Arabidopsis thaliana: one gene and its partner. The protein of the gene in region 1 binds, or shares a complex with, the protein of each later gene. Each region holds a gene or a part of one and is shown on either strand. Other genes may lie near its edges. The genes, in order: MAD2 and AT2G20635.

What was found.
Region 2: MAD2 (region 1) and AT2G20635 share a complex: the UniProt entries of both Arabidopsis thaliana proteins name them as parts of the mitotic checkpoint complex.

The regions. Positions count from the first base shown.
Region 1 is NC_003074.8:9,500,425-9,507,091, forward strand, and holds MAD2 (DNA-binding HORMA family protein), read left to right. Parts: upstream 1-2,631; 5' UTR 2,632-2,807; coding exon 2,808-2,883; coding exon of another isoform or gene 2,884-2,887; exon of another isoform or gene 2,888-2,971; coding exon 2,972-2,987; exon of another isoform or gene 2,988-3,088; coding exon 3,089-3,219; intron 3,220-3,301; coding exon 3,302-3,422; intron 3,423-3,516; coding exon 3,517-3,620; intron 3,621-3,715; coding exon 3,716-3,837; intron 3,838-3,918; coding exon 3,919-3,978; 3' UTR 3,979-4,246; downstream 4,247-6,667. Other genes in the region: AT3G25970 (Pentatricopeptide repeat (PPR) superfamily protein), read right to left, coding at 1-1,797; AT3G25990 (Homeodomain-like superfamily protein), read right to left, coding at 4,422-4,624, 4,702-4,926, 5,029-5,157, 5,437-5,475, 5,757-6,279; AT3G26000 (Ribonuclease inhibitor), read right to left, coding at 6,618-6,667. UniProt on the Arabidopsis thaliana protein: Required for the execution of the mitotic checkpoint which monitors the process of kinetochore-spindle attachment and delays the onset of anaphase when this process is not complete.
Region 2 is NC_003071.7:8,896,546-8,903,212, forward strand, and holds the start of AT2G20635 (protein kinase and Mad3-BUB1-I domain-containing protein), read left to right. Parts: upstream 1-3,814; 5' UTR 3,815-3,864; coding exon 3,865-3,917; intron 3,918-4,016; coding exon 4,017-4,164; intron 4,165-4,331; coding exon 4,332-4,489; intron 4,490-4,586; coding exon 4,587-4,677; intron 4,678-4,767; coding exon 4,768-4,881; intron 4,882-4,972; coding exon 4,973-5,060; intron 5,061-5,279; coding exon 5,280-5,383; intron 5,384-5,460; coding exon 5,461-5,532; intron 5,533-5,606; coding exon 5,607-5,696; intron 5,697-5,785; coding exon 5,786-5,943; intron 5,944-6,067; coding exon 6,068-6,122; intron 6,123-6,200; coding exon 6,201-6,335; intron 6,336-6,431; coding exon 6,432-6,553; intron 6,554-6,649; coding exon 6,650-6,667. Other genes in the region: AT2G20625 (hypothetical protein (DUF626)), read right to left, coding at 39-119, 439-673; PIA1 (PP2C induced by AVRRPM1), read right to left, coding at 790-837, 1,296-1,418, 1,501-1,655, 1,744-2,020, 2,118-2,354, 3,071-3,103. UniProt on the Arabidopsis thaliana protein: Serine/threonine-protein kinase that performs 2 crucial functions during mitosis: it is essential for spindle-assembly checkpoint signaling and for correct chromosome alignment. Has a key role in the assembly of checkpoint proteins at the kinetochore.

The DNA of each region.
Region 1 (6,667 bases):
TTGAGTAGCCATTTCGATCTCTCCACAAGCCCTGCAAACTCCAAGGAAAGTTTTCAATACCATTGGATCAGGATTCAACGGCATTGATTCGATTAACTCTTTCGCTTTGTTCACGAGCCCTGCTCTGCCTAAGAGATCAACTGCAGCTGCGTAATGTTCCATTCGAGGTTGGATTTTGTAAACCGGTTCCATTAAATTAAGCAACTCGAGTCCCTCTTGTATTAAACCGGTGTGGCTACAAGCTGTAAGGATTGCTGTGAAGGTTACATGGTCTAGCTTCACGTTTTGGTTACACATTTGGGAGAAGAGATCAAGAGAGACTTGGCCTAAACCATGTTGAGCGTATCCAAGAATCATTGCGTTCCAAGCTACTGTGCTGTGTTTGGAGGAAATCTGTTGGAAGCATTTTCGTGCACTCTCGATTATGCCACATTTTGAGTACATCACGATCAGAGAACTGATTACAAACTCGTTTGATACGAAGCCTGATTTAGTGGCGAGCGCGTGGATCTGCTGACCTAATTGGAGTGTTGCTAGGTCCGAGCATGATCTGAGAAGTGCAGAGAAGGCGTAATCGTCGACTTTTATCTCTGAGGATCTTAAGTAGCTAAAGAACTTTACCGCATCCTCGCTGAGACCCTTCTGGGCGAACCCTGTAATGATCGAATTCCAAGAGATAAGATCCTTAGATTTTAAGGATTCAAATAGAGACAGAGCATCTTCCATGGTGCCTGTAGGAAACTGAATATACATAGAGATCAATGCATTTGTTGCAGAAGTTACTTGTTCCAATCCCTTCTTTATTACCATACCATGCAAAGACTTCCCAAAAATTTGATGTTCTTCGCCAGAGCAAGCGCTTAACAAGCCGGTGTAAGTATAAATGTCGGTTTCGACCCAATGTCTTTGCATTTGAATAAACAGTTCAAAAGCAGATTCCTTTAGCTCATGTTTAGAGAAACCTGCAATCATCGAATTCCACGAAATCAAGTCTTTTGAGCCACCCAAGCCATCAAAAACTCTCTTTGCATCTGATACTGACCCACAATCTGCATAAGAGCTGATCATCGCATTGCATATAGTGATCTCGTGTTGAAGCCCGAGTTTCAAAACCTTAGCATGAACTTGCTTTAACAAGTTACAAAACATAGGATCATCAAGCAAAGTAAGAAGTGGAGCGAAAGTGCCAGCATCCATAGTCACAGCAGCTTTCATCTCCATCAAACCCAACAACCAAAAAGCAGTCTTGATATCTCGCACTTGCACAAATCCAGCAATCAAAGCATTCCATGAAACAGAGTTAGGCTCTGAAATCTCCTTAAAAGCCTCAAAAGCATCTTCAACTCTTTCACATTTCGCATACATATCAACAAGCGAACTTCCAACATACACATTACACTCATAACCTCCCTTTATAACCAAACCATGCACTTGCTCTCCAAGATCGAACCTTTTCACAGAAGCAATCCCTTTCAACAACCTACTAAAACTATACCCATCAACATCAGATCCAGATCTCTTCATACATGTAAATAAACACCATGCATCCTCCAATTTCCCACAGCTTGTGTACCCAGAAATCATTGTGTTCCAAGACACGGAATCTCTCTTAGGCATTTCATCGAACAACATATTGGCATAACCCAAGAAGCCAAATTTTATATAAGAATCCAAAATTCGATTGGATACGTATATATCTGAGATGGAACCACATTTAATAGCGTAACAGTGAGTGAGTGAAAGCTTTTGGAAAGAGTTTAAAGAGCTCTCTAGTAGAGAGGCTAACAACGCTTTCATTCATCTGTTTCTCTGTGTTCATATGATGTCAACATCAAAGAGAGTTTATTTTATTTTATTTATGTATAAAAATATATTTTAATTATGCTTTTTTTTGGTCAAATAATCAGTTTATTATTAACTTATATATATACCTGAATTTACCTAGTAATGGATTATCAAGTGGCTAGTTAGTTTGATAAATTTGTGTTAATAACCTTATGTGGATTAATAATGGCTTAATTAAGTAAATCAAAACACATTTGAAGTTTGAGTTATTTGTAAAATTGTATTTTTTCAGTTAGACTGGAAAAAAATACCTTAGTTTTTTTTTTTTTTTTTTCTAGATTTCGGTCATGGGTGTCACGACATAAATTTATATATACATATATATGAAGTATATTTGAAATCTATTTAAAAAAAAAAGTCATAGATGAGTCGATTTACCAATAGAAACTACAAAATTTACCTTTCAACACTTAAAAGGCTTCTTAAAATTTTGATTGATGCTTCATTCGTTTATCAAAGAGACATACGGCTTAAAAGTTAAAAACCACATGGCGAGTCTAAATCCGTATGGCAGAAAACTATGGACTTTTCTATTAAATTTTTAAAACAAAGTTATTATATATTTAATATTTGGTGTATTTCTTTTAAATGTAAAATGTGTTGCAAACCAAAAATAATAATTATTACAATGGTTTGTAGAGATGTTGCTATTGGCTAAAAATAATTTGTTGTTTTTTTATATTTGATATTTTAAAAATTCTGGTAATGATATTATATTGTTTTTTTAAAAAAAATTAGTGGATTCGACCTTAAACTATAATAACCCAAACTAGCCGTTGCAAGTGCATTTCCGAGGAAGACTAGCCGTTACGCTCTTATTCCTTTTTTTTTCTTTTTCTTTCTTTCCTTCTTTTTAATCCTTCCCTCAAATATCTTTTTTTCCCTTCAAAATCATTAAAACCCTAAGCGACGCTGTTAACACTTGCGAATTCAATTTTCAAAATCACCGATCCTTAGACTCCATGGCGTCCAAAACAGCGGCTGCTAAAGATATCATCACTTTACACGGATCTGCTGCCATCGTCAGCGAATTCTTCTGTACGTATCTTCATTTTTTCTTAGACTCAATTTCAGATATCTTCTTCTCGATTTGATGTTTTTTTTTTCCTTCTTCTTCTTCCTCCAGGTTACGCTGCGAACAGGTGAGAATTGGATCGGAACTTTTCAATTTCAGTGTCTGGAAATCTTCGATTCTGTGATTTTTTTACAGTGAAATTGATTCGTTATTGGTTTCTGGGTACAGTATATTGTATAATCGTGCAGTTTATCCAGAGGAAAGTTTTGTGAAAGTGAAGAAATATGGACTTCCGATGTTGCTTATTGAAGATGAATCCGTCAAATCTTTCATGTCTAATCTCACTTCTCAGATCTCCGGTAATTTTACAAATGTCAGACTTTTATTCAATGATTCCTTTTGTGAGAGAGTCTGAGACTTGATTTTGTTTTTGGTCTAAAGAATGGCTTGAAGCTGGGAAGTTGCAGAGAGTAGTGTTAGTGATTATGAGTAAAGCTACTGGTGAAGTCTTGGAGAGGTGGAATTTTCGTATTGAGACTGATAATGAAGTTGTTGACAAAGGGTCAGTTTTTTGTTTTTAGTGTTGATACTTTCGCAAGTTTGTTTGTTTTCTTTGATTCTTTGTTTCATTATGTTATCTTTATGGAACTTTTTAGTGTGTCGAGGGAGAAGAGTGATAAGGAGATCATGAGGGAGATTCAAGCTATTATGAGACAGGTTGCTTCAAGTGTTACTTACTTGCCTTGTCTTGATGAAACATGTAAGAACCAATTCATAGGAACTTTGAGTGATCATCATTTCGGAACTAGTTTGATTTGGATTCTCGTTTTTGATTGTGCATGTTGTTTGTATTAGGTGTGTTTGATGTATTGGCGTATACGGATACTGATGTGGCTGTTCCATTCACTTGGATCGAGAGCGACCCGAAGTTGATTGCTAATCCACAGATGGTTAAGTTACACGGTTTTGATACCAAGGTAAGGAGGAGGAAGAATTTTGAAACCTTTATTTATACACTTTGAAATGTCTAAGTATTTTGGTGGTTTCATACTTTGCAGATTCACAAAGTCGACACGCTTGTCTCATACAAGAACGACGAGTGGGATGAAGAAGAGTAACAGAAGTCGGGACACACGTATGCAAGGCTCTTTGTTCAGCTTGCGTTTATCTCTTTGGGAGTTCTCATTGTTCTTAAAGGCACGTGAATCCTTTATTCACACACCTATATCGTTTTCTCTTCTGTTTTTTTTCTTTTTCTGAATTGTATGAGAATTGGAATCCTGTACTTGTGTTGTGTTTTGTTCAAAAGTTATCAGCTTTTTCATTGTCCCTGTCTCTTGTACTGAACCGTTTTGTTTACCAATCAAACTTTATGGCTCTTGGATCAAAAAGAGATTTCTCAATAAACAAATCAAATTCCTCTGATTCACAATGGCATGTCAAAAGAGGTGCATATGTACAGTGACTGATGAAAATAAAGTATTTTGGATCAAAAAAAGCTATTTATAGTGACTGATGAAAAATAAAAGGTTTCTTCTAGCCTTCTGTAGTAACCGTTTTCTCATCTCATTCCTCTGTATAAGCGACCGGATTGAAGCTCGTCCATATTGTCTATGTTTTGAAACGCGTCAAACTCTCTCAGACATGTCCATCCTCGTCGAGCCAAGAAATCTCGGTAATCTTCTTCGGTGTAGAATATCTTCTCCTCTTGATGGACTGGTAACGGATCAGATTCATCATAGTGGCACACTCTAACGGCTATCCCTGAATTCAAATGGATATTGAGAAACCTCTAACCAGAGAGTATTCGATGAATAGCATAGAAGAAAGAGTGGATTTACCTTCATCAATGCGGAGTATATAGTTCCCTAAAGGCATGTCTCGGTCAAGAGAGCGAATAACCTGTTCTTCATCTTCTAGCCAAAAAGCTCGTCTTGTTCTCAATCTAAACGCGGATCTGATAGCTTCCTTAATTGCTTCAGCAGTACCATCAATCCCAACTCGTCTTGTGTAATCTCCAAATTTCACCGTTATGATCCTCCCAGCAAATGGCTGACCATCAACGCCTGCTTCAAACATGACAACGATTAGTAGTAGTTGCCATAAAAGTTCAAAAGCTTAATAAACAAGGAGAGGCTCTCTCTAAGTTAGATTGTCTGGTTACTTACCATTTCCAGGGGTGTCTCTCCAATTCCAAGGAGGAACTCCATTTGCTGTGATGGGATCAGCAGCAATGGGGAGAGGAAGACCATCATGATCAAGCTCCGTTTCAAGATTTAGCGTTGGCCTGCCATTAGCTGCATACAGATACAACTCATATCAAGACTAAAGTGACTAACACTACTTCCACAAACCAAACAAAATCGGCTTCACATTATCACTAACATTCTACAATTTGGTATGAGTTCACTTTTATTTCACTGAATTATAAGAGAATCATAAGTTGTTGCACAATTGTTTACCCAAAGTTAGGACTGATACAACCATTTCTCTCAAAGTAATTCCCCAACTAAAAAAGATTTCAACACCACCATTTATATATACACTCAAAGATTCAATAAATGTGAGATCAATACCTTCAACAGATGTAAATGAAATACCAGTATCTTCAAAACCTACAAGAAGATAAAGATAAAGATCAATTTTAGAAGAAAACCCAAATTTACTATAAAAAGTCAATCTAGTTTAACAAACCAAATCTACAACTTTATAATTAGCCATTAATGGTCAAAAGCCTCTTTAACCAGGTTTAGCACTAAAAGAGGAACAAAACTAAAACCAAAAAAGATCAGTCTTTATCTTCTCAATCCAAATCTAAACCAAAACCCATTAAGAAATTTTATCCAAACCTGCAACAAATCAATCAGAATCCCCAAAACCAAGCTAAAGATTGTACCTTTATCTGTAAATTGCATAAAGGAATCAACTTTAGCAGAAGATGGTGTAGTAGTAGCAGGACTCTTATAGAATGCCACTTTCTTCTTTCTTTCTCTGAAAATATCTTCAATCTCATTGTAATAAGACATCTTCGTTGATCCTCCACTTGTTGCTTTATCTTCATGTTGCTTAGCTTTCTTAAACTCTTTCAATATGTTCCTCCACTTGTCCGTACACATAGATGGTGATCGATCAAACCCTTTCTCTCTCATTTTCTTAGAAATCTGTTCCCAGAGATGTTTGTTAGATTTGGAAGTGTTGAAAAGATTGTCCATTTCTCTCCGTAATGAGATTAAGGTTCGAGTCTCGTCTTGTGCCCATGTCTCTGCTCGTTTCTTTGGTGCTTTGATGATCTCATGATCCTCTCCTCCACTGCTTTCTCCGAGGATGATCTGGTGTGGCTGTAGATCTCCGTTTGATGTAACATCGCCGATCATCATGTTTATGTCCCGTGAAGGATTGTTGTTATCGGAAACAAACATGTTTTCTCCAAGGAAGAAGGAGAGATAGCAGAAGATGTCAAAGATTAATATAAAAGGCGCGTGAGTCTTTAATTATTTGTCAAAGCTTATCTTAAATTTACATAAATGATCTCTCTTGTTTGATTATTAGATGAAGAACAAGAACAACCCAAAGATGCAAACTTTTAATAGATCTCCAATAATAAAGATAAGAGTGTTCAACAAATATGAAATGGAACATATTTTTATTGTTTAAAAAAAAAAAGGTTCTAGAGATAGTTGAAGATCATCTCCATTGAACCGTGGAGACTGAGTCATTCAATCATAGAGAAGAGAAAGGCTCAGATGGAATTTTATACCTAGAGAGTTAACTTAGGGGTCGGCTTCGAACAAACAGCACACAAAAGCT
Region 2 (6,667 bases), on another chromosome or scaffold:
TCACCTCATAGAACTGTTGGTTCCTATTAATGCATCACCCTCAAGCCACTTATGCATATCACCTCTACAAAAGTCATCAACAGCATTTGGATCCCATATCAAATCTTCTTCTCCAGTTCCTATAACATTTCTGAATGGATTGGTCGTAATTCCAAAGAATCGAGATATATACCCAACAGTTCAACACTAATATACTAATTCAAAACCATATATTCAAAACAGAACCATATACGGTTCCTTGTTCCTTGTAAACTAAACAGTGGGAAGTTTGTTTTAAGATCCGAAGTGTTGAAAATATGTTTCACATTTCATCAAGTGCTAAGGAAAGACAGAACAATATACGGTTCATCAAGTGCAACACTACAAAGTAGTGGAAATATCATCAAGCAACACTACAATCATCAAGGTTCCTTCTAGTCATAAACTCCAAAAATCTACTCTTATGTTCAGCCCTAGGAAACGCTATAAAACCCTGCCGACTCGCTTCATCAGCTATAAGATGGTCAATTGATGTCTTGTGAAATGGAGACCACATCCTAACTCCAGGCAATCCATTAAGCGTCTCTAGTACACTCTTAACGCTAGATGCATGCTCCCGCTCCAACATCAGTTCCACTATTCTATTCTTCTTCTCAAGAGCTTCAGTCTGCTTTACATAAGCTTCAACAACCATATCTTTCTCTTTACGCCTTTTTTTTTGCTTTTGAACTTCCATTTTGAGTTTGTGTCTGTTTCTCTACCATTGGCACTGACACGTCTTTGTCAACAGAATCAGCTTCATCATCCAAATCATCTACAATACCTTTCTGAGAGAGCCTCTCGTCGCAAGAAGCACGGCTGCATCAATCAAACAAACGAAAATGAATGAAACTTAATAACTTAACCCAGTCAACTAGAATCAGCTGAGTTGATGTCATACATTCATAACTGGCTAGAGAATATATATATCAGACCAACACAGTAAACAACAGAGATTCAAGTTCTGCAGTGTTGCAGTGTTGATAGGCCTATAGGCCCAAGTGAGCCAACTTATGTCTTTTGACTTGTCGTCTGTCTGAGGAAATCTCTCTCTATTCTAGCTTTGTAGATAAAAGAAACCATTTAGAGTATTGGATCAACAACCATGGATTTTACATTGTGGCCAGAACATTTATTGTCAATGGAATTGTTTAAGCAAGACATGACTTTGATCACACAGCTTAGGCGTTTTATACGTCTTTTGTTTCTCCCTCTCACACACACCGGAATGGTAAAGTTTATAGACAACAAAAGTTTATCTATCACTGGAACCTTACAACTATACAAGAAATGTCGTCTGTGCTTTGCTTAGAGACTGCTTCTTCTATCAACTCCTTGGCTGCCGCTTGTGGATCTTTTATGCTTTTGATCAAATCCACCGCTTCTTGGTTCGACATCACCTGATAATTAATGCAACACTCGTCAAGACATTGTTAAAGATTTCATCACTCTGATGATAACATGGGACGAGATCTCAAATACCTTCCAAACTCCATCACTTGCGAAAAGGATAAACTCAGTCTCATGATCGATATTCTCGTCTCTTATGTCTGGATCTGAGCTCAGATGTATCTTTAAGCTCTTATCTCCAAACGCCCTAGCAACCGCTAGTTGTCCATCAACTCTTGGAACATCCCCTGAAACCATTCAAGAATCGTCTATAAATTCCTCTTCTCATGTTTTATATGTGATGAGCAAGTAAGTGTCTCCATCTACAAAACTTACCTGGAATATTTGATACAAAGCCACCACGGCTTTCTATTTCCTTTTGTTCCTTGCTTGGTTCATGATCAACAGAGAGTTGAGAAGCAACACCGTTCTTTGACATCACTGCACGTGAGTCTCCAACGTTAGCAATCACTAGCGTTTTCCCATCTATCAGAATGCCTGTTACAGCCGTTGATCCACCTTTGCCAAGTTTAAGTGACTGCTCTAATATCACAGCATCGGTTGATATGTATGCATTCCTTATAGCGTTTTTCGTATCAGTCCAAAAATCCTTCTGAAATAAGTGAAACAACAAAAACATTTTAAGTCTTATCAGAGACATTATAGAAATCCATAAAAACAGATTCATGCATGCTTTAAACATGAGTTACCTCTTTGAGTATGTTATCAAAGAGATTGGTTTGCAAGTACTTGGCTACATCATGCCCTAAGTGACCATCAAAGATAGCAAACAAACCCAAATCATGGCCGTCTACTTTCTTGAACTCAGACACAACATAGTCCTCCATCGGATGGCCCGCTTTGCCTTTCACAAAGTCATAACCGTGTGCGATGTTCTTCCACACCTTGGTTTTACCTCTGCCTGTGTCAGATCCGCATAATCCAACCTTCAAATATTCACACCCAAACAACAAGAAATTATACTATTAGTTTCATTTTTAAAAAAAACTTTTTTACTACTCAATACATTATAATCATTTTATTCTTAAGCTAAAAACATAAGTTGACAAATAACAGCAAAATATAAGAAGAAAAAAAAAAGCAAATATGAAAATAAATGAGAAAGATAAATTATAAAATCAAGTTTGGTTTGATAAACAAAAAGAAATTCAAAGTTTAGACATTTAAAGAAAAACAAATGATTATTAGATCCACATAACCCTTTGTAAAGACTCAATTTCATGAATAAAATTCAGCTTGCAGAACAAAACAAACAAAAAAGATCTACATAATCCAACCTTTACCAATTCACACCAAAACACAATCACATTAATCCAAGTTCTGTAATTTCTTCATCAAGAGCAACATACATACATTTCATTATCACCAAATCTCTAACCAAAAAGAGAATATAGAAAATGCACAAATTACTGAAACAAATTCAGTAACACAAGCTCTAGAAGAATCAATATCATCGTTTAACATGCGAGATGCTAACTTCCTTAAAACGGCTCTACGTACAAGTTATCACAAAGAAACAAATATAGCTTAATGAGAAACAGAACAAGACATACAAGGATCAGATCACAAAATCAAGATTCTTTAGAGCCCTTGAAACGCTACTAAAGAAAAAAGAAAAAGACTAGCGTTGAGCTAAGCATACCTTCATCTTATGGAGAATCTCTCTGCCTGCCATTGTTACAAGAATTTGTTTCTCTGCCTTTGTGTCTGAAATATGAATGATTCTAAGAAAGAAAAACAGAGAGATGAGTTTATGTAATAAATATGAATGTGAGGTAATCAATCCACATGTGAACAGCCGGTGATTCTTATCATTATTGGCTACTGACTTCCTCCGCCGACGACTTTTCTTCTTTATATTTTTCTCAAGGCAAAAGTATTCCCTAAACAAATTCTCTCTATTATTATTTGCTACATTCTTTCACATTGCCGACAAAATAAAACATTACTTTTAAAATAAAAAACTGTTATTTCGTGCACATCATCTCATTCATTACATTATTGATCGGAAAAATATTTTTTTGTTATTACTTAAAATAACAAGACATTATTTTATCAGTTTTTCTAGTTACTCTGTCATGACAACATGTGCAACAAAGAAAGGAAACTTTATCTTAAAAATATTTTCAAACAAATTCGAACAAAATGACGTCGACAAAAAGAAATACGCGTGTAAAAGACAAACCACACGCAACAAAGGCGCGTTTAGCGCGTAAGACTAGAATCCGTGGACCTGAAGCGCGTGGGCCGGGATTTTCATTTGTCTTAACTGAAACAATGGGCCACATAATTAACAAAATAGGCCCATTTACACTTTTGGGTTATATAGAATATTTGCTCTGGTCCAACAAATTTTGAATTTCGAAAGTTAATTTTTTTTGAAAAGCTTCACTTCCCACTCTCTCTCTCTCTCTCTCTCTTCCTACGGCTGCGAAAATGACAATCGGTTACAGAGACGCCGCCGGAGACCCGCTCTTCCCGTGGCTTATGTAACTCATGCTTTATCCTTCCTTCTCATCTAACTAATTGTGCTATATGTGTCAAAATGGATTCTAATTTTCCGATGTTGTATTTTGGGGTTTTCACAGGGAGATTAAAAATTCGATGGAGGATCTATACGCTGGTAAAAATTCCGGATACGATCTCGATAAGCTTCTATTTGATTGTATCTCAACTTATAAGAAAGATTCTCGGTACCGAAATGACCTCAGATTCCTCAAGATCTGGTTTCTCTATGTAACTTTACTAAAACCCTCTCTCCCAACTTGTTTGAGCTTAAATTGTGCTTTTCTTTCCTCGATTGTTTGTTTGATTAGCATTCTTAGGGTTTGGGATTGTTATATTGCGAATCAACTGATGTAGATGTTACAGTTTGGGGGTTAAATTGTTGAATCTCTTCTTAGCTTGAAGGCAGGGAAGATTTTGAGAGGGTTTATAGAGAAATTGAAGAGACTGAGATATGTAAAGGGCATTCGTTGCTCTATGAATGGTATGCTATTTTTCTTGAGGTCAAAGGATTGTGGCGAAGAGCAAATTCTGTTTATCAGACTGGTCTTTCAAGGTCTCTTATCTTTCTCCTTGTTCTGTGGCTCCTTCCTTATCTTTTTCCTCTAGTTTGTGGTTTCATTTCTTATTTGTTTCTCATTGGAGAATTGTAGGAAAGCTGAACCATTTGACAGGTTAAAAGAGGCTCACTCATTGTTCTTACAAAGAATCTCTAAGAGGACCAAAGCATCTTCCCTTGAAAAGGTTTATTTTTTAATTTTAATGAGTAGCATATGGTTATTCTAATGCACTTTGATAGCTTTAGTTGAGGATTGAACGTTTTCTTTCTGGCAGGTTGGTGATGATGCTCAGGCCACTGACTTGGAGACGGGTTTTGTGAATCCATGGGAAACATCCACTGTGAACGGCTTAATTCACAAGATAAAACCACAGCTTGTGAAATATGATGTAAGGCTGATGGAAAATCATGATATTTTACATGATTTAACTTATATAGGGAGGCTTGTCCACTGAGTTTCTTTCTTTATGTTTGCATCAGGGGTACCATGTAAGCAACAAAGTTTTCCCTGGAAAGGCCAACCTGTCATCTTTGCAGAATTATTCCAGAAATAAGATCATTGAGATAGGTATACTTTTTTCATACCAATCTAGTCTGTCACCGCTACAGGATAAAGAATCCTTCTTTTTATTATAAGATGCATTTTTCAAATTAAAAGTGGCTGGGCATGTATTCATTTGTGTAAAAGAAATTGATTCCCGCTTTGTTCTCACCTGGGACAATATGTCTTCTCTGAGACTAAAATAAAAAAAGTGACCTGGATCCATTGGCTCTGTCTATTTGCTAGGTGGAAGAAAGTACCAGATGAAGGGCTGTGCTGGCCAAGGTGGTTTTGCTCAAGTGTTCAAAGCATTCATTGACAGCAATCCTGATGAAGTAGTTGCTCTAAAGGTAGATAGACCCTTAAAGTTTTTTCAAATACAGTATGATGCTAAATGCTCATATTGCATATACAAATCTCTTCACAGGTACAAAAACCACCTTTTCCTTGGGAATTCCACATGTATCGCCAACTTGATTGCAGGATCCCAGATAGCCAAGTATGCCCTTTTCCATTAATATTACCAGTTCACAGGTGTTTCACACCGTACTAATTACTCTCATGCTATGTTAGAGATCAAGTTTTGGATTGGCTCAGAGAGTGCACGTGTATTCAGACTACAGTATACTTGTCTGCGATTATTTATCACACGGGACACTCCAGGTAGGTGGTATCTTAGGACTCTCACGGACTGAATATACAAAATGCAAACATAGTTCTTTGCTTCATTTGCCTTCTTTTTGTGATTTAAGGACGTCATAAACTCGTATGTCGTTGTTGGAAAGTCCATGGAAGAAGTTTTGTGCATGTATTACACAATAGAAATGCTGAACATGCTGGAGACTTTGCACAGTGTTGGAATCATTCATGGTGATTTCAAGCCAGACAATCTGCTGATCCGATACCCTCCGTAAGTTTATTCCGCTCCAATATTGCTGATTAGATTGTAGATAAAGACTTTTTGGTCATGAAGCCATGTACTTGTATGTTAACGATCGTGGCAGAGACTGACATACCTCACGGATTACTTGCAGAGAAAACCTAACTGAGACAGGCTTTCATGAGAAAACAGGTTCTTGGAGCAAGAAGGTAAATCCCTTATACAACTACTAGTACTCTGATTTGTGTGTGTCCACAATCTGATGCAACTTTTCATTTCTACCTCAGGGTCTCTGTCTTGTTGACTGGGGTAGAGGAATAGACTTGAGCTTGTTTCCTAGAACCACCGAGTTTACAGGAGATTGTCGTACCTCAGGCTTCCGTTGCGTGGAGATGAAGGAGGATAAACCTTGGAAGTTTCAGGCAAGTCTTTAAAATCACACTGCTTCAGCAAGAATTTTTCTTTGCATGATTAGACTTTTAACCATTCGAGTCCATTGTAACATGTGTTATATATAGGTGGACACTTATGGACTATGTGTAATCGTCCACATGATGCTGCACAACGTCTACATGGAGATCGAGAAGAAGCAATCTCTGGACGGTGGCTACATTAATATGCCGAGAACTTCATTTAAAAGGTCTCAAAAGAATAATTCAACTTCATTTGCTTGTTTTGTCTCTCAAACAAAAAAAAATTATTGTTTGGATATTGAATCACTAAGTTATTTGCTCAGATACTGGAAGGTGGATCT